Macaca mulatta: one gene and its partners. The protein of the gene in region 2 purifies or fractionates together with the protein of the main gene of each other region. This does not show direct contact. Links are inferred from orthologs where the notes say so. Each region holds a gene or a part of one and is shown on either strand. Other genes may lie near its edges.

The links.
Region 1: the proteins of CEBPB (region 2) and ATF3 purify together in Homo sapiens (affinity purification with western blotting; 3 studies listed by BioGRID and IntAct, with this or other methods). This does not show direct contact. The link is inferred for Macaca mulatta from reciprocal best matches to the Homo sapiens genes CEBPB and ATF3.
Region 3: the proteins of CEBPB (region 2) and SMARCA2 purify together in Homo sapiens (affinity purification with western blotting; 5 studies listed by BioGRID and IntAct, with this or other methods). This does not show direct contact. The link is inferred for Macaca mulatta from reciprocal best matches to the Homo sapiens genes CEBPB and SMARCA2.
Region 4: the proteins of CEBPB (region 2) and SMARCC1 purify together in Homo sapiens (affinity purification with western blotting; 3 studies listed by BioGRID, with this or other methods). This does not show direct contact. The link is inferred for Macaca mulatta from reciprocal best matches to the Homo sapiens genes CEBPB and SMARCC1.
Region 5: the proteins of CEBPB (region 2) and ATF2 purify together in Homo sapiens (affinity purification with western blotting; 3 studies listed by BioGRID and IntAct, with this or other methods). This does not show direct contact. The link is inferred for Macaca mulatta from reciprocal best matches to the Homo sapiens genes CEBPB and ATF2.

What each region holds. Positions count from the first base shown.
Region 1 is NC_133406.1:70,340,056-70,344,288, forward strand, and holds the start of ATF3 (cyclic AMP-dependent transcription factor ATF-3), read left to right. Parts: upstream 1-1,219; 5' UTR 1,220-1,292; intron 1,293-4,233.
Region 2 is NC_133415.1:103,041,842-103,045,573, reverse strand, and holds CEBPB (CCAAT/enhancer-binding protein beta), read right to left. Parts: upstream 2,478-3,732; 5' UTR 2,277-2,477; coding exon 1,242-2,276; 3' UTR 637-1,241; downstream 1-636. UniProt on the Homo sapiens protein: Important transcription factor regulating the expression of genes involved in immune and inflammatory responses. Also plays a significant role in adipogenesis, as well as in the gluconeogenic pathway, liver regeneration, and hematopoiesis.
Region 3 is NC_133420.1:97,412,857-97,416,582, reverse strand, and holds part of SMARCA2 (SWI/SNF-related matrix-associated actin-dependent regulator of chromatin subfamily A member 2), read left to right. Parts: intron 1-2,091; coding exon 2,092-2,218; intron 2,219-3,726. UniProt on the Homo sapiens protein: ATPase involved in transcriptional activation and repression of select genes by chromatin remodeling (alteration of DNA-nucleosome topology).
Region 4 is NC_133407.1:111,044,908-111,048,633, forward strand, and holds part of SMARCC1 (SWI/SNF complex subunit SMARCC1), read right to left. Parts: intron 3,042-3,726; coding exon 2,928-3,041; intron 1,521-2,927; coding exon 1,367-1,520; intron 334-1,366; coding exon 220-333; intron 1-219. UniProt on the Homo sapiens protein: Involved in transcriptional activation and repression of select genes by chromatin remodeling (alteration of DNA-nucleosome topology).
Region 5 is NC_133417.1:80,095,109-80,099,561, reverse strand, and holds the start of ATF2 (cyclic AMP-dependent transcription factor ATF-2), read left to right. Parts: upstream 1-1,519; 5' UTR 1,520-1,673; intron 1,674-2,013; exon of another isoform or gene 2,014-2,089; intron 2,090-4,453. UniProt on the Homo sapiens protein: Transcriptional activator which regulates the transcription of various genes, including those involved in anti-apoptosis, cell growth, and DNA damage response.

The DNA of each region.
Region 1 (4,233 bases), on a different chromosome or scaffold from region 2:
AGCAGAAGAACCCGTGAAAGCTGAAGATGGGTTTTCCCTAAATATCGCCTGAGAGCGGGGCGACCCCCAGGCCTGGGCAGGTTCGCGGACCCCAAAGCACCTTCTCTTTCCCCCTAGTCCTGGCCACTGGCTTCCGCCCCCTCCTACGCTCCCACCGGGCTGCCTCTGATTCCTCCGGGACTCCGATCTTTTCACGCTCTTGTTGGTTTCACTGAGACGTTCTTGTCAATTTCAAACGCTTTGTGATTGAAAAAAAAGAAGAAAAATCGAACCGATACGGTCCTACCACTCGCCCTAGTCTCGGAGCCCGGAGCTGTCCTGCGTGTGCGTCTATGTGGAGGGTCCGGGGCCGTGGGCTCCGGCGCACGGTGCCAGCAGAGGGCTGCCCTCCGCTTTTGTGTTAACGGGCGGGCTTCTCGCGGTCCCCGCCGCGGAGGTCACACCCGGCGGGTAATGGCGTGGATACACCGAAGAGTGACTTTGGACACCTTCCCCACATCACAGACTAACGCTTCTGCCCCTATTCTGTCCCTGCTAGAGAAGTAGGAGGCCAGTGGGGGAGGGGGTATTTTCCTGAAGCTCCAGAAAATGACCACGCATTTTAGAGAAAGGTCGTGCCCGCTTCCCAGCCTCACCTAGTCTGGGCTGGGGCCGGGACCCGCCTCCCCACCTTCCCCGCCCCCCCGCTCCTCAACCTAGCGGAGGGAGAGATGCCAGCGCGGTGGAGTCATGCCGCTGGCTTGGGCACCATTGGTCATGCCTGGAACACGCAGCAGCGAGTACGCACATCTGGCGGCTATCCCAGGCGACTCCGGTCCTGATATGGAGAGAGAGGGCGGGCTGGTGTGTGTCTCAGTAAGCGAGGCTGGGGGAACGCGCCTCGGCTGGCTCCTCCCCGAACTTGCATCACCAGTGCCCCCCCATCTCCACCCGCCTTCCGCCCCGCCTTGGCCCCTCCCCCACCCCCTTCCTCCGCTCCGTTCGGCCGGTTCTCCCGGGAAGCTATTAATAGCATTACGTCAGCCCGGGACTGGCAACACGGAGTAAACGACCGCGCCGCCCGCCTGAGGGCTATAAAAGGGGTGATGCAACGCTCTCCAAGCCACAGTCGCACGCAGCCAGGCGCGCACTGCACAGCTCTCTTCTCTCGCCGCCGCCCGAGCGCACCCTTCAGCCCGCGCGCCGGCCGTGAGTCCTTGGTGCTCGCCCGCCGGCCAGACAAACAGCCCGCCCGACCCGGTCCCGACCCTGCCCGTCCTCCGGACCCTGGCCGCCCCGAGCGGAGCCTGGAGGTGAGCGCTGGAAGCCAAGGGAGTGAGCGCGACGAGGGCGGCTTGCCTTCATTCCCTTCGCGCCCCTCTAAGTAACCAGTCCGCCGACCCCTGACCCACCCCAGATCCGCGCCCCCAGTCTCCGGCTTGGAAATAACTCTGGCTTTAACTTCTTCTAAGCCACCGCTGCTCCTCGGCGCTTTGAAAAGTTTCCCGCAAAGCGAAAGAACTAACTTTCTCTTTTGACTTGGGGCGCGAAAGGTTCCTGGTGACGGAGGTCTGGCGTCCACTCTGCCGCCAGCCTGGAGCGCCGCTTCTCTCCGCAGACGGCGCTGGCTTGCGGGGCTGGGAGAGGGCGTGAGGTGGGTGGGCGGGTGCGCTGGGGTGTCCGAGGCTGCCCAGCTCGCCGTCCCGCTGCATCCCTCGCTTCGAGACACGGCACTGAGGGAGCCGATCCTTCCCGGGGTTGGCAGAGAGGCACGAAGGCGGGAGGCTTGCGGGAGGGCTGCCCCACGCGCGGAGAGGAATGAATGGGGAAGGGGCAGGAGGGCGGGCGGCGTCGCGTGCGCGGCCGCTGGGGGTCGCCCTGGGCACCCCGGAGCGCTGGCGGCAGGACCGTGAAGGCAACCCCGAGAAAAAGTTAGCTGGGATAAGTTTGGAAGTGGAGAGCGCTGGTGTCGCGCTGTCCCGGGGCGGACGACGGGAAGGGCTCCCGGCACCGGTTGGTGTCTGGAACCCGAGCCCGGGACTCCCACACACCTGGGACTCTCACTCTGGCTTTTCCTTCGGCCGGTCCGCGGGAGACCCACCGTGGCGGGGAAGCGAGGGTGTGGAGCCAGTTGTGCAGATATTTGAGAGAATGGCTTTGTGGTCTAGTGCCAGGACTCTGAGCGCTTACACTGCAATCGATGTCGTTGAGCCTCAGTATGCCGAGCCGGGAAATAGGGGCACATGGGCAGTACCGGCCCCCTCTGCGTGTTGGAGGGCACAATGCAGTGGTTGGACCAGATAACTGCTAAGGTCCTTTCTGTCTGGAGATTTTCAGATTCTAGGGTGGTGTAGTGGGAAGAAAAGGAGCCAGTGAGGGGACTTGAATGCTGTGGGTCTCTATCTAATGTCATTGACCGGTGTCCAGACAGTGGGGGAAAGGGGACTTTTCTGCAGGGCATCTTTTCCCTCACCAGTTTTCTTTCCACTGGATTCCTTCTCCTTCTGTGCTCCTCCTATCCCCATTTTTGTCTCTCATCTACTTCCTTTCCTCCTAAACATTTTCTTTTACCTAATTTCATTGCAGAGGTCACATATGCTTTCTTACAAATAAAATAGTTACTAAATCCTTGATGAAGCCAGAAAAAAAAAAAAAAAAAAGGAGAGCCAGAAAATCTGGATGTTCTCTCAATGTACCCCTTTCGTTGTAGGTGACAGTCACATCTTCTGTTCGAAGTTTCTGTCTCCACAATTTAAAGTGAAGGCAAAAAATTGGTATTACTGTCCCCGTTGTTTTGCAGTTAGCATTGGTTGTAGAATAATGCTACAACATACAGGCTCCTGCTTTGAGGATATCCTGGTCAAAGATGGGATGTGGTGAGGATTGCAGTTACTGTCAGAATTGTTTCAGAGACAGCAAAGAAGGCAGCACCCCACGCCCGCAGTGGGGCTAAGATACAGCACCCAGCATCTGTGGCAGTGCTGGGAGCCTTCTTTCTCTCTCTCTTCCTCCTTGCCCTTTAGCCATTATAGAATTCCTTTCTCTCCATGGCTCTTTTCTTCGATAGCCCCTCCCTATCTCAGTCCTGTCAAAGTCTCCTCTGTGGTTGGTACCAAGTGCCAGGACTCTTGACCCCTTATCTACCTGGCTAATGGCTCTGTTCTCTGGTTGCCTTGTTGGTTGATCCCTTGAGGTGGTGATACCTATTGGTGATGGAGCAAAATGAGCAGTTGGTGGGTGGTCAGCAGCTTGGCATGGGATGGGCCACTCACCAGCTTTATGACCTCAGGCAAGTCATTTTTACCTCCCTGGACCAGTGTACTCATTACAAAATGAAAATCTGACCTAGATGATTCTAATATTGAGAGGGTGTGATTTCCATTAGATAGAGTCCATGATTCCTTTCTTTTTAAAATTGGCTGGGCATGGGACAAGGCCAGTGGCTTCAAGTGTTACCCAGCCAGGGGAGGAGGAAGGACATAGTCAAGATGCCACAGAAGCTTTCCAAGGGAGAAATGGTTTTTAAGTGAGAATTGGTTTTCTTTCAAATATGTAATGGAGAAATGCTGGTGTCAGCAAATAGTGGGGTGACATCTACCTGGTCTGCGAAGAACTTGGGGTCAATCAGAGTACAAAAGAGGCTCTGAATGACCTGAATTTCTTGAAGGTTTTAGTTAATTCCTCACTAACAGGGCTTTGTTGAATTGATAACAACAGAATGAGTTTTTCCTGAAATGGAGAAGATGGAGTCACAGTAATAATGACTACCCAGTGTATATGTAAATCTCATATATCCTTCTTAACAGCCCTTTGGGGCAGGCAGTTTTGATCTCAAATTACAGAGGAAGAGAATGAGAGGCCCAGAAAGCCTAAGTGATTTGTTGGTGAGTGCTTAGTTTGTGATTGGCGCTGATAGGTTCAGAAACATTGTCTCTGGCCCTTGATGCCCAGCTTTGCACCTACAATCTTCAAGAGGTCTGGGAGGAAGACCAAGATATGAAGAGTTAGTGAAAGGCCAGTATTGGCTTCCTAGTAACATAAGATGGTTAGCGAGCAATGCTTAGTGGAAAGAGGATGAAAATTAAAAGTGAAAATTCAATGTAGCTGTAGCTACTAGGAAATAAAAATCTGGGAGCTGAATTTCCAGTTAAAGGAATACATGAGTAGTTTCACTTTCTTGAAAATGATGTAACTACCAATGATACAACATGATTTCTGATTGGAAATAATCAAGCAGAAACAAAATGCAAGTTC
Region 2 (3,732 bases):
CTCCCCCACCTCCCTCCACCTGGCCTGGCCTCTCCCCTCCTGCTGGCCAGGGATACACAAACAGATTCGCCCACGCACCCAGGATCCCCTCTTTAAAATGCACATGTATACACAAACTGTGTTTTAAACAACCCACCCAACTACACTTACTAAAAGCATCTGCCCTGACTCGGGCTCAGCAGGACCAAGACCTGAACCCCTCCTCCTACAGTCACAGGCCTGCCTATCTAGTCCCCAAACACAGGGCAGGGGTCACAGACCTCCCAGCCCTTCCAAACCCAAGCCTGACACTCGGGACCAGTCAGAGGTCCCGGAATCTCTTCTCAAGCAGGGTTCCCAGCCACCGGTCCCGGCGCCCAGGAGCTCTGAGTTAGCCTGAAAGCCTGACCCATTACTCTTCTCCCCTTTCCCCCAGGGCTGGAACCCCATCTCCAAGCAGACCCTGTGGGTGGGGGGAGGGTGTAGCAGAGGAGGCAGAAAAACCAGCTGCAACACCCCCACCAACCACCAAAACCTCCAAAAATAACAGCAGCCCCCCACACACAACCCACTACACACCAGAAACGCAAAAACAAAATCCTACAAATCCAAAATAAAGCAAAAAAAAACAAAAGCCAATTACTGCCCCCAAAAGGCTTTGTAACCATTCTCAAAAAAAAGTTTATTAAAAGTGTTCTTACTTAATGCTTGAAACGGAAGATTCCCAAAATATACAGACGCCTCTTTTCTCATAGAAATAGATTATTTTTTATAATACAAAAAAAAAGACCAAAAAACAAAACAAAACAAAACATCAACAGCAACAAGCCCGTAGGAACATCTTTAAGCGATTACTCAGGGCCCGGCTGACAGTTACACGTGGGTTGCGTCAGTCCCGTGTACACACGCGTTCAGCCATGTTTAAACCGATTGCATCAACTTCGAAACCGGCCCGCCCGCCGGCGCCTGGAGAGGGGCAGAGGGAGAGGCAGAGAGTTTATCATTCATCTGTACACATAGACGTTTCTTCTTTAAATAACACCACGGGCGGGCGCCCCATCTGCATGTGCGGTTGGTTTGGACAAAAATATAGATATATATATATAATAAAATATTAAAATTACCGACGGGCTCCCCGCGCTGCCAAGTGCCCCAGTGCCAAAGTTTTGCCGGCGCCGCCGGGGGCGGAGGCGGGGGCGCGGGCGCGGGCGCTTCCCGGAGTCTCGGCCCCGGCCGGCAGGGGGACGCGCGCGGGGGCCGCGCTAGCAGTGGCCGGAGGAGGCGAGCAGGGGCTCGGGCAGCTGCTTGAACAAGTTCCGCAGGGTGCTGAGCTCGCGCGACAGCTGCTCCACCTTCTTCTGCAGCCGCTCGTTCTCGGCCGTGAGCTCCAGGACCTTGTGCTGCGTCTCCAGGTTGCGCATCTTGGCCTTGTCGCGGCTCTTGCGCACGGCGATGTTGTTGCGCTCGCGCCGGATCTTGTACTCGTCGCTGTGCTTGTCCACTGTCTTCTTGGCCTTGCTCTTGACCTGCGAGGGCGGCGGCGCGGCCCCCGCGTAGCAGGCGGCCGGGGGCGCCTTGGCGTCGGCGGGGCTCGGCGTGCCGGGCGGGCTGGACGACGAGGACGTGGAGAGGCTCCCGCTGCTGCCGCTCGGCACCGCCTGGTAGCCGAGGTAAGCGCGCAGCGCGTACGGGAAGCCCGCCGCCATGCCTGCGCCGCCGCCCGGCGCCCCGGCCTCCTCCTTCCGCTTGCAGTCCGCGGGCTCGAAGCCCGGCTCCGCCTTGAGCTCGGCGGGCGGCGGCGGCGGCGGGGGTGGCGGGTGCAGGGGCGCGAAGCAGCCGGGGTGCAGCGCGCCCTTGGCGGCCCCCAGGCGCCCCAGGCTCACGTAGCCGTACTCGGCCGGCTTCTTGCAGTTCTTGCCCCCGTAGTCGTCGGAGAAGAGGTCGGAGAGGAAGTCGTGGTGCTGCCCGGAGGAGGCGGGCGCGGGGGCGGGCGCGGGCGGAGCCGCCTCGAAGGTGTCCGTGGCCGTGGCGGGCGCCGGGGCCTGCGGCGCGCCCAGCGGCTCCAGGTACGGGCTGAAGTCGATGGCGCGCTCGTGGTCGCCGATGCTGCCCAGCTCGCCGGCTGGGGGGCGCGGCCCGGGTCTGGCCGCGGGGGGCGCCGCGGGGGCCGCCTTGCCGCCGTACGCAGCAGCCAAGCAGTCCGCCTCGTAGTAGAAGTTGGCCACTTCCATGGATTTAAAGGCAGGCGGCGGCGGCAGGGGGAGACATGCTGGGTCCCAGGCCACCAGGCGTTGCATGAACGCGGGTGCCCGGGGAGGGGGCCTGGGGCTGCCCGCTCCGGCCGGCCCGCAGGTGGCGCGGCCTCCCTGCTCTGAGCTGTCGCCGCTGCGTCGCTGCTGCTGCCGCCGCTGCCGGGGTGGCCGCTATTAGTGCGGGGGCTGGTGGCTGAACCCTCGGGTGGGTCCCCTTCCCAGTCCCGTGCGCGGCTCTGACTCGCTAAAGTTTCTCCTGAGCCCGGTTATTTATAAGGGCGGCCCGTAGCAACCGCTGCGTCACACCGGCCCCTCCCGCCGCGCCGCCGGGACGCGAAGGACACGGCCGCGGCCGCCCGAGACCCCCAGGAGGACGGCGGCAGGGCGCAGCGGAGGGACCGGGCACCCGGAGCGCGTTTTCGGGGGGGGTCCCCGGGCCGCAGGGGGCGGCCTCACGCCCCCTGCCCACCCCCGCCCGGCCGCCCCGGGATTGGGAGCGAGAGGGGGCGGTGCGACCCCGCCCCCAGACCGCCCCTCTGGGCTGGAGGCTGTCCTGGAAGGCGGGGGAATCGGAGGAGGGGGCGACCTGATCGCCTTCCCCCGGAGATGCGGCCCCGGCCCGCCCCCTGCTGGAGGAGGCGGAGGTTTCAGGAGGACCGAGCAGAGCCCCGACGGCGGACCAGGGGCCGCTCCCCGGGCGGAACCCTGGAGACCCCAGCCCGCAACTCTAGCTCCAGGAGAAGCGACCCATCTCCGTAGCCCTTCCCCCTAAACTCCCACCTCTTCCACAGGTCCCCGGCTCTAGAAAGGAGTAGACTCCACGCCTGTGACGATTCCCCTCTTAAGCCACCGCCAATATGAGGACCCCGGGGGTCGGGGGGACGGAGCAGGATCGCGCTGCGCTGGGGGCTGGACCCTGGTCCACGGTGTCCCGCCCCTAGCCCCGCCCACCGCACCTGCCGCCTGCTTGCGGCTTGTACACACCCGGGTCTTCTCTTGCCCCGCGCCGCGCCATCCGACCTGGGCCCTGCCACACTGTGCGACCTTGGATGAGTCACTTCTCCCAGCTGCAGTCCATGAAGGGTGTCGCTACTGTCAGCGGTGGTGGCATTGCTCCCACCAGACTCCCAAACCTAAGGCTTACGTTGTGGGCTGCACATCAGAGAGAAAGGGACCCCCATGGATTGTGCCAGTGGAGGCCCAGAGGGAGCATGGCATGGCATACCAAGGTCACATGGCCGCATGTCCCCCATTCATCCCAAACGAAATGCCCTCATCTGGGCCCTAAGACCTATTGCCAGCCCCAGAGGCCAAAAAGCTTCTGTTTCTGAAGCTGCTGGGGAGGGGCTTAAGCCAGGCCTCACGGGAGGGGGGTGGCATGCAGGAAACAGAGAAGGAAAGAGAAAGAGAAGTTTTTACCAAGTCCCTGCCCTGTGCTCAGGGTGGGCCTGGACCCCGAGGTTCTTTTTCACCCCACCAGGAAGATGCTTTTGCTGCTGCC
Region 3 (3,726 bases), on a different chromosome or scaffold from region 2:
ATAATATTAACACATTATGATGACAAATCATTTAATAAATTAGAATGAATAACATGTATCTAGCAAATAAAATAAGAATCAGTCGTAGATATTATTTTTAGTGAAGTCCCTGAAAAATAGTTTTCCTTACCACCATTTTAAAATTTTTAAAAATGATGACATTTTATTTCCCTTCCAAACTAAGCAACTGTAGGTTTTTACAAAAAATCACTCATTTTGATATTTGGCTATATGAAGTATTAGATCTCCTACAGCATTTAGGACCAGGAGGTTTTACTTTTTCATGTTAATGAAAATGATGCCTGTCATCATCAGCATCTTGGCAAGGAAGACAAATGGCCTGGTTGCCTTAGGACAGAACTAGAAGTTAGAAAGAAAAAAAGTCTGTCCTCTCAGCTCTGTAGTCTGGCAACACCATCATGTTTGGAAAACACTGTAATATTCATTTTTTAAGATAATTTCGACTTTTATTTGAGATTCAGGGGATGCATGAATAGGTTTCTTAACATGGGTGTATTGCATAATGCTGAGGTTTGGGGTGCAATGGATCCCATCATTCAGCTAATGAGCATAGTACCTAAAAGTTTTTCAACCCTTGCTGCCCTCCCTCCCTCCCCCGTTTAGTAGTCGCCAGTGTGTATTGTTGCCATCTTTATGTCCATGAATACCCAATGTTTAGCTGCCACTTAAAAGTGAGAACATGCGGTATTTGGTTTTCTGTTCCTGCATTAATTTGCTTAGGATAATGGCCTCCAGCTGCATCCATGTTGCTGCAAAGGACATGATTTGGTTGTTTTTTTTTTTTAATGGCTGTGCATAATTTTAAACAGAATTCTTAATTTTCAACTTTTATAGTTGAGGTCCAGGAAGGTTCTCAGAAAGTATATTTTAATTATCTACCGTTTCATTGCAGTGGTTTTGGTATCAGGCAAATTGAGGTTCCAGTCTTGGCCCCCTTCTTTACTAGCTCTGTGGTATCTCCAGGTGTCTTCAGTTTTCCTCATCAGTAACATGGGACCATTATAACATTTACCTTATAGAGAGAGGCGTGTCTGTGTGTGTAAGAGAGAGACAATTAAATAAAATTATGCATTAAAGGCACTTAGTTCTGTTAATATTAACCTAGTTTAACTTATTACTCATTTTATCATTATTCTTTCTTTGTTGAAATCTAGTTCAGTACAGTTTGCCTCAAATTTAGGGGATGTAGTTCTAAAAACAGGCTTAAATGGCATATAATTATTTGTCAGAATAGGATTCAGGTGAACTCTAAAACCAGCAGTTTATATATCTAACAGTAATAGTATCCCAAGTGAATGGCTAAAGTGAGAGGTCTTTTATTTTCTACTCTGCCTTTATTATGCGGAAGTACATGCAGTTATATTTTTGATGGTGTGTAAAACGAGAATCCTCAACATCCTTTTCTAGAAACTCTTGGTTTTTGAGTACTATTTACTGCTGGCCCTGATTTTTTAAAAACAGCCTCATTTGTATTTTCTTTTCTCAAGCAAGCTCTGCTCACGGAGGAAGTGGCTGTGGCTGGCAGAGCGCTTTCTGAATGTTTAGGGTTGGCTGATTTCTGTGGCATCAGCACCTAAAACCGTTCTTGCTCTCTCCGCTTTAATGGCTGTTCGTCATCGGCATCTTGGCAAAGAAGACAAATGGTCCGGTTGCCTTAGGACAGAACTAGAAGTTAGAAAAAAGTGTGTCCTCTCAGCTCTGCATTCTGTCCGGCTGGGAGTTAGGAAGCGAGTCAATTGTTTCTGTCTCTCATTTCTCTCTCTGCTAAGAGCGAGCAAGGACATTTGACTTCCCCACTAGATACAGGGTGAACCCTCTTTCCCTGGTGTTAGATAGGGGTTATGGAGGAAGCCACATTGTTAAGTTAACATATACCTGTCTGCATTAATACAAAGGTAGCTTTTCTCTGCTTAACATCAAAAATTCTAGTTGGGTGTCAGAAATCAACTATCAGTATCTGGAATATGTTTTGCCCTGAACTTAAACCTGATGTCATTGTTTATCATGTAACATTAAATTGTAATGTGTTTTTCCACTGCCCCCTTTTCCCCGTTTTATTGTTTCCTTCAGACTTCAGGCCCGCATAGCTCATAGGATACAAGAACTGGAAAATCTGCCTGGCTCTTTGCCACCAGATTTACGAACCAAAGCAACCGTGGAACTAAAAGCACTTCGGTTACTCAATTTCCAGCGTCAGGTAATACCTTTTCCCCAGTGAATCTGAGATGTAGGAAATAAATGTAATTGTTCCTAAAGTGTTATCTGTGTTGCCTTTAGTCTATTCGATATTGTTATAAAGATATAAAGAGAGAAACATAGTAAAATAGTGAATCTTTTAGACCAACAGCTTACAACTAAAAATAATGAAGATGAACTGCTTATTATTCTGGTTTTCTCTTCTGTATATGGGAAAGAGTTTTTCCTCCTGTACTATGGTTTACAAAGTCAAGAGTTATGGCATTTTGTTACCATGGATGAAAAACCTTGGGAACAAGTGGGGTAGCTCATGTTTGCCTTTATGACTCCAAGGAAAAACCAGAAGGTAGTAGAGTGGAGCTTCTTCGTAAGCACAGATGTTAAGTGCTAGCCACGACTGTGAAAAGAATTTTAACAAATATGATAGCCACTCTACAGAATTAGTTCATCATTTATAGAAATACATAAAACAGTGTCTTACAGCTTATTTATTCACCAATATCTGAGTTTGGAGTGTTTAATCACATCAGGCTCATACAGTGACTAATCTGTAAATTATCTTGTCATTACAGTAGTTATTAAAAGCCAGTATAATGACCTATTTTCTGATTTCTAAATTAGTAAGAGACTAGTGGAATGAATTAGAGCTACTTTTCACTTTGGTGAGTTTTGCCTTGTGGACTCAGAATGTTCAAGTTTGCTAGTCCACAGATTGCCTCACTAAGCCAAAGGGGAGAAGGAGCCTTTCATTGTTAGTCAGATGGGTTTGTTTTGTTAAAGCCTGGAACATGCAAAATGAATGATTAATGAGTAAAAGTAGTTTGGAAGTATTGACTTGGTCTGTTGGAGGATGCGAGTAAAATCACAGGCCACTCCCCTTGCTATTGTAGGAATTTGGGTGTATATTTGCCTTACTGGCTATAATATCACAGATGGACATTAGTGGTGAGTAGGTGCTACTTGGCCCTTGGTTTGTGAGAGTAGATTTCAGCTTAAATTTTAAAAAGAAGAGGGAAAATTCTCTGAGTTCTGTTTACTTCTTTCTTATTGGTGACCTCACAAGATGAATTAATAAAGTGCTGGATAAAATCTCACTAAATGAATATTAACCAAGTATATTTTCAGGAATAAGTTTATGTTCAAATTAGCATTGCTGTGCTGGATTCTTATTGGTTTCTGATTTTTGTTTGATATTATTTTAAAAATCTGTTATTTATGAAGCTTCCCAATTAAATTAACTGTAACTAATGATGATTTCAGATTCAGTGGAATGATTATTTAATGTGTATTCTCCAGTCCCTACCCCCTACCACCACATAGCATGCAATACAGATAAAAGTATTACATTTGTGATGATCTAAAATAAGTTCATGATATAATACAAAATGTAGCTCTCTTGGAAAGAATATTATTATTGGAGTGGGAAGAAGCCAAAACTCTTATTTCCCATCCTTTGTATGAGACTATGAATTAACGTTGGTGGAGTACCTGCTGCTACCATACGTGAAA
Region 4 (3,726 bases), on a different chromosome or scaffold from region 2:
TCTCTCTTCAAATTCTCCATTTTCCCATCGAATTTCTCTAATAGTGTTATTTTTAAAATACCTATCTACTAAGTCATATGGGAATATAAAAGGTAAGATAAATCATAATTGTTTTTAAAAATACCATCAGATTTGAGTAGAAAGCTCATCAGATGTATCTTAGAAGGACTAAGATGTGCTGGATTGTAGCCTACATGTGATTAGAAAAAAAATCCTTACCTTTGCTAATGTTTTCTTGGAGTAAATATCAGTACGTAGACCAAAGTTCTGCAAATCAATTGGTTTTTCCTTGTTTTTCTCAGGAAAATTTAGCATCTGTTGAGCAGCAGGAACCTGAGTCAAATAAATGATAAACGGCTGAGTTAGCCTCTTTAAAGTCAAGAGGGTAAACGTTTTTTAAAATTTGTTTAGGCCGGGCGCGGTGGCTCATGCCTGTAATCCCAGCACTTCGGGAGGCCGAGGCGGGCGGATCACAAGGTTAGGAGCTCAAGACCAGCCTGACCAAAATGGTGAAACCCCATCTCTACTAAAAATACAAAAATTAGCTGGGCGTTGTGGCATGTGACTATAATCCCAGCTACTCAGGAGACTGAGGCAGTAGAATTGCTTATAACCCGGAGGCGGAAATTGCAGTGAGCCAAGATCATGCCACTACACTCCAGCCTGGGGAGCAGAGACAGACTCTGTCTCCAAAAAAAAAAAAAAAAAAAAAAAAAAAAAAGGTTAATATTGGAACTTAAGCCACTCTTGGTGGATTTCCTACGAAAAACAATAAATACCCACACTTCTACACTATACTTCTAACAAAAATTCAACATACAAGTTACATTTTGGTGTCCCTTAAGTCCAGAAAGGATAACAAATTTTCATTACTATATTCTATTTCACAATGGAACAAAATTTATACCTTAGGTTCCTGTGAATCCAACTTAATGCTATACAGAATTTGTCTGACATAATCTGTTTGATAATGTATATATGGATGTCCACTTTACAAATCTTAGGACAAGTTATAAAGATTTCTTTGCTTCACGTTTCTAGAACACAGACTGAAGGAAGGGAAAGAAGATTTTGCATCATCTGCTTACTTATGTGTGTCTTTTTGATGACAGAAGGATAAAGGGAGTTATGCATATAAAAGTAAATTAATAATTTGATAGACTAAGGCATTGGGTTTTGGGATTGGTGGGACAGCATTAACTTAAACACTATATATTCTTTTGGACTGTAATATTTACAGTACACCAAAACACACATACAAACAAGCATCAAAGAAACAGCACTAACAACAGCATTCCTAAATAGATATGCTATAAACAGACATTTGTTACTATTCAGGTCTGATGAAAAGTCAACATTAATTTACCTGAGGTGATCGAAGATGCAGAGGCACAAGCCCAGAGGGAGTATCAGCTAATACATTAAAATGAGGAGTAGGAGGAGGTCCCATTGCCATAGGTCTACTTTCCGGGTCAACTTGGTAATTAACGAGTCCCCACTGCTCTAAAAAGGCATGGACCCTAAAGAATAAAGCTCGGAAAGTTAAAATCTAAAGAATCAATTTCATGTGCTTTATTATCATCATTACACCATTAAAAAACAGAAACAATAAAACAAGTAAATGTGCTCAGCAGGCTATCAAACACCACAAATTACTTGACAGATTTTGTTTGTTATGTAGGGAACAATTTCTACAAGCCACAAATAATGTTGATAACACAGCACCCCCCAAACCTATTACAAAGTTTAATCATTTAAATCACAGAAATGAGAGCACAAATACGCATTTAGGTCCATGGTAATAAAAGAACCCACACACAGACCAAATACACACATAGAAAAAATCCACATTTTTCTTGACAGAGTCTCGCTCTGTCTCTCAGGCTGGAGTGCAATGGTGCAATCTCAGCTCACTGCAACCTACTCAGCCTCCTCGGTTCAAGCGATTCTCCTGCCTCAGCCTCCCAAGTAGCTGAGAGTACAGGTGCCCGTCACCATGCCCAGCTAATGTTTGGTATTTTTAGTAGAAACAGGCTTTCACCATGTTGGCCAGGCTGGTCTCGAACTCCTGACCTCTGGTGATCCACCCACCTCGGCCTCCCAAAGTGCTGGGATTACAGGTGTGAGCCACTGTACCTGGCGGGTTTTTTTTTTGTTTTTTTTTTGGCAGAGCTAGGGCGCAGAGTTTATCCACTCCCAACCTGAATCTACTCCTTCCCTGGTTATTTTATGATTTGACTAAAAAAATTAAAATGTGAACTGTAAAATCTAGAAAACTAAATTAAATATTTATCTTACTTATTTTATTTTTTTGAGACACAATCTCGCTCTGTCGCCCAGGCTGGAATGCAGTGGGACAATCTCAGCTCACTGCAATCTCTGCCTCCTGAATTCTCCTGCCTCAGCCTCCCCAATAGCTAAGATTACAGTCATGTGCCACCACGCTCGGCTAATTTTTATATTTTTAGTAGAGAAGGGGTTTCACCATATTGGCCAGGCTCGAACTCCTGACCTCAGGTGATCCGCCCACCTTGGCTTCTCCAAGTGCTGGGAATATAGGCGTAAGCCACTGCACCCAGCCTAAATTAAATATTTTAAATTTTCAACCTCTAATGCTGAACACAGTGCTCACGCCTGCAATCACAATACTTCAGGAGACCGAGGCAGGAGAATTGCTTGAGGCCAGGAGATTGAGACCAGCCTTGGCAACATTATGAAATCCCATCTCGACAATAAAATTAAATTAATAAAATAAAATAAAAATAAAATAAATTGAATGAAATGAAAGGAAACAAAATATAATCCACCCCTAAATGACACAACTAAAATTAGGTGTTTTACCCAGTTGAAACAACCAGTTTAATATGACAGCAAAGCATAAGTAAATTCCTACAGTTAAATGTCTCAGAAAAAGTCAAACATTTTACCTCATCACAGCACACACATCTCCAGTCAAGTTCCTCCGACAAGCAGTGCTAGTTAAATACTCTTGGGGGTTTAGGCGATACGTGTCAATCATAAAATTTCGATATGCCAAGTATCTAAAAAGCAATGGCAAAATTCATAAGGTGGACACGTATCCTTTCAGAAACAATGTTACTCAGAAACTCAAAAATCTTCAGATTCCTTAGAAATACAATAAATTAAGACAAGAGCATAAAAAAACGGTGATATTATATTGCATATTAAGTTATGAGTGAATTTAGAACCACAAATATGCAAAACAACTGTTTACTAATGTATAATAACAAGTAATGTAACGACATTCATGTGAAGTAACATAAATTCAAACTTGGTCATGGTGGTAGTTAACTGCAGAATTTGAAACTAACACATGGTTACATAGGCTATCTGCCTCACTACCACATATCTATACTTTACTGTGTGCAGGGCACTGTTATAAGCAATGTATGTCTGACAACTGAATCCTCATAATCGCTCCATATTGCAGGTAGGGTCTGCTATCATCCCATCTATGGGTGAGGAAACAAACACTGAGTTGTTAGAGAATTTGTCCTAGCCACAGGGTTGGTAATTGATGGAGCCAGAATTCATCGCACCCAGTGTGGTGGCTCTTCAATCTATGCTCTCAACCTCTGTTGCCTATCACTTCTGTATTTCAAATGTGGCACGTGGATTTGGCTCTGAAAATAGCTATGTAACTTCTCGTGGCAGTTCTTTAAGGGAGATCATGGCTGGGCAACAAGTAGAATCCATGAGACCAAA
Region 5 (4,453 bases), on a different chromosome or scaffold from region 2:
TCTTGTCTAAAAAGAACTGAAAGACTTTCTTCAAAATGTGTTCCTCGAATGCATCATGTAGATAATTTAACTGCTTGACAACAGACCAGAGAAGTAGAAATGAGAAATTTAAAACCAAAGCTACTGCCCAATTGAATACTGAAAAAAATAATTTCAAATTTTAATACACATGAATGGAAAAATAATTTTTTAAAAAATCTATTCTAATTGACCCAAACTTCTTTTGAAATGTCGTAACATTTCTAATTCTTTTTCTCACATTAGTTGTTTTGGGAGATGGAGAGAGAAGCATCATTTTAATCAATGTTTTCTAGACCTAACAACTGTGATGTCAATCAAACATTTTGTCCACCATTTCCATCATGAGTAATCTGAACTGTGAGGTTTTGCTGACATAGTTAGTGTTACACTACAATGACACTACTACAACATTACTGTTACTATATGGGGACAACACTTTCATTTTAAGTAGGAAAGTGTTAATAATTTGGCTTAATGTTTTTTAACTAAAATTAGTTTTAAAAGAGGACTGAGTTGGCTTATATACATGTATGCAGTCCAGAGACCTACCTGTGAAAATGTCAATGCCATTACAATTTCACTTTATGCCAGATATCATTCTTGAACTTCAGGCTCATTATCTCTTATAATATCCCCTAAAACCTTTCAACAACTTTGAGAGTGTATTTTATGTTAATATATAAACTAGTTCATAATTTTGTTACAGACTAGAAATCAGTATTTAATAAATGGAAAAATAAAAGACTGAAAATCTTTTATTGAGTAAATTTTCAGAGGCCTCTGATCATACTTTTCAACTTGTGCCTATTTATTGAATAACCAACATCCCTACAGTTAATATTAAAATCTTTAAGTTGTGTGAGGTTTATTGGAGGGTAGGGATGGGGAATTACCAGCAAACTCTGCCTCCCGCAAACCTCACCTAACCCGAAGCTCCCCGTCTCAGACTCCCGGGGAGCCAGGGGTAGGCTGAGGAACGCAGCCTACCTTTACCCACCTCCCTACCTAGTGCTGGGAAGCGACGGCAACGGAGACACCCGGCTCCTGGGGCTGGGCTCGGAGGACCCATCCTGCTTCCCCCTACCAGCCTTTCTGGAGCTCACCATCCTCGCTTCACACCGCCAACACCCTGCCTACCCCTCCTCCGCCGCCTGCACCCGCCCCCTCCTCCAGCCGACAGCCAATCACAGCCTTCCACAGCCTTGGGTTTACAGAGGTAACGCTCCTTGGGCCCTCTGGTCCCGCCCCCTCCAGAACTGCTTCCCGCCCTTCGGGCTCCTTGCCCAATCACGAGCGCCCGAGTGCTCTTTGGTGCCCGTCCCCTCTACCCGCCCTGCCGAAGACCCGCCTTCTTCTCCTTAAGCCTGACGGAATCACCTGACTCGGAGGCTCTCCCTCAGAAGGAAGGCAAGACGGGGCGTGAGCATGGAGGGGAGGGGCGCGAGAAGGAAGGGGGGGATGCCGGGAGCGGGGCGGGTCGGGGGGGGGGAGGAGGGTTGTCAGTCCGATCTCGCGAGAGAGGACGGAAGCCTGTGGGAGCCCGTGGCCTTTAAAGTGCCGTTCAGCCTTTTCGTCCAGGGGTGGTTTGTAAACACGGCTGTGCTCGGGGCTCACGAGTGACCGAAAGGATCATGAACTAGTGACCTGGAAAGGTGAGTAATGATGGGCAGAGGTCAGCAGGGCTGGAGACTGTAGGGATACGGAGAAAGAAGGTGCTAACATGGCGACGTCGCTCAGCACAGTCCCCACCCCCCGTTTCCCATCACCTCGGGTGCTCCTGACGTGCTTCTTAGCCCTTGGGGCGATTGTGGCTGTGATGCCACCTTAGCGGCCCGCGCGGTGTGGGCTTTGGGAGACTGACTGGCTGGGCCGGACCGTTAGGTAACCAGCGTTCGTTGTTCCGGCCCCTCCCTCTCGCGCGCTTTCCTAAGGCAGAGGAAAAAGGAATAACGGCTCCTCTTAGACCCCTCCCTCCGATTTATCTTCCCCCTGCTTGGGTCAGTTCAGAGGTCCTCGGGGCGCGCGTCGAGTCAGCCGTGTGCGCAGGGAGACCTCTCCCACCCACAGTCCTTGGGTTGGGCGGGGAGAGGGCCCACTCTAGTCTCCCCACCCAGTGTTCAAGCGATTGAGGACCGTGTATTTGTGATGGTGGCGGGGAGGAGGATCGGGAGGCGCGGCTGAAAATAGAATCAGGGTCCCTGGCTGCGGTGCAGCCTGAAGGAAAGAATGGTGTGGAGAACCTGGGAGCTGCAAGTCTCGGCCTTTTCCGTCCTTTCCGCCACCCTCACAGTCCCGCTACCCCCCACTTTTTCCCGGTGGGGCGGGGCTTAGGTGTGGGTGCAGAGTGATTCTGGTATTTTCCCCTATTTTTTTTTAATCTCTTTGGGTGGACAGCAGACCTTATGTAAAGAAATAATTTGCTTTTCATCATGCCCTAGGAACCAGGGCCGAAAGGGAGTGTGTGTACGTGTTTTCCATGTTCGCTCGTTTAACCGAACCTAGGAGGAAAAAGAGAGGAGGAGCTGGGGACTATTTTTGTGCCCCTAGGTAGTATAAAATTGGCTTTCCTTAATGGAGAGTCTTAAAACTGGTGAGGCCAAGAGCAAAACTACTGTGAATATCATGTAGTAAAAGAGATTATTCCTGATGGACCTCAGGCATCAGAAATTTTACTGAAAGAAATGTTTCTCTTAAAATTCAACACCTATTTTAAGTAGTGATGTAAAGCATTTCTTTACATGTACCTTCAGGTTTTCTAATGCTTTCCTGGCTATTATTTAACTGGTACTAAGGGATTGACTAATCCCTGAATTATAATGTGAAAGTTTAAATTTCTTAGAGGTTTTAAATTATGGAGACGTCACAATGCATGCATTTACGATATACATTTAAAATCAGAACAAAAACTGACTTCCTTTGAGCACACTTTTTGTCCTATTTGAAGAAACATGACCACTGGCGTTATCATTGTCAGTAACAGCCGTTCTAATCTTTATATAGCCATATAGCTTTGGTCTCATGAATCAAAATTATGAAGGTAAAGCTTTATAAAAGCTTTTTAAAAAGTAACACCTACAGGTTTAAGTGCCCTGAAGTGCAAACACAGAAACAGTTTTATCATGTATTCATTTTTTTTCTTACTCGAGGAATCCACCGTAAAAACTTTGTTTCAAAATGATAGGAACATCCTTGTAAAATACGTTTTAAAAATAGATATCCTCTGAAGATTAAGAAAGTTCATGGATCTTTAAGGCCGTCAGTAGTTGCGTAATAGTTAAGAATCCTCGTCTTTGTAAAATAATTTCTAGGAATCTTCCAGATTTACCGTGATGTGTAAAAGAATTTCTGAGAATCTTCCAAATTTGCCGTGATGTGTATGTTGCCTTTCCAAGACGTTTAATCTTGCTTTGAGAGAATGCTACTGCCATTAAGTTTTAAGAAATGATTTAAAATGTAATATCGTGGAAATTTAGAACTTAGATGTTATGTATTTTAATTGTCAGTAAGGAAGGAGCTTTCAGGGACCTTTTGTGTGTGTGTGTAGGGTATATAATACCTTCTGTAGCTCCGGGTGCATTTCCTGAAAATCCTTTTTAAAATACCTTATCCGAATGTTTATTTCGTATTTGGGGCACTATATTATTATTAGTTAAATATGTAACCCAGGAATTCCTGCACTTTTTTCTTTGGCGTTGTTTTTTATTTTTAAGCTTAGATAATAGAGGCTGGGCGCGCGCGGTGGCTCATTCCTGTAATCCCAGCACTTTGGGAGGCCGAGGCGGGGGGATCACGAGGTGAGGAGACCTTCCTAGCTAACACTGTGAAACCCCGTCTCTACTAAAAGTGCATAAAACTAGCCGGGCGTGGTGGCGCCTGTAGTCCCAGCTACTCAGGAGGCTGAGGCGGGAGAATCCCTTGAACCCGGGAGGCGGAGGTTGCAGTGAGCCGAGATCACTCCACTGCACTCCAGCCTGGGTGACAGCGAGATTCCGTCTCAAATAAATAAATAGTAGAAATGGTTGTCAGCATTTTAACAAATAATGGGGGTGGAGGTACTCTTTATTGGTATTCAGGATCTGAAAGCTCTGTGAGTATGGTTGAAAAATATTCCATACATCAAACATCTATCTATAGGTAGCGTTAACTCTTCAAAGAATAATGTACATTTTTTCTACCCAACTTTTTGTATTTTGGAAAACTTGGGTTTTAATGATACATACATTCTTGTCTGGTAAATTGTTAGATCATGTTAGATCAGGTAAACAGTCTCACCAATGTGTGCTGTTTCTACTTATTTTGTCTTCAAGCTCTTCCTTCCAATATGAAATATGTCTATAGGTAGGCATTTCTTTATCGTTTTTATTCTTACTAAAATGTCGTTGGAGAAGATAAAGTAGTTGAAGTCTCCCTTATTAAAACCAGATTTTCACCA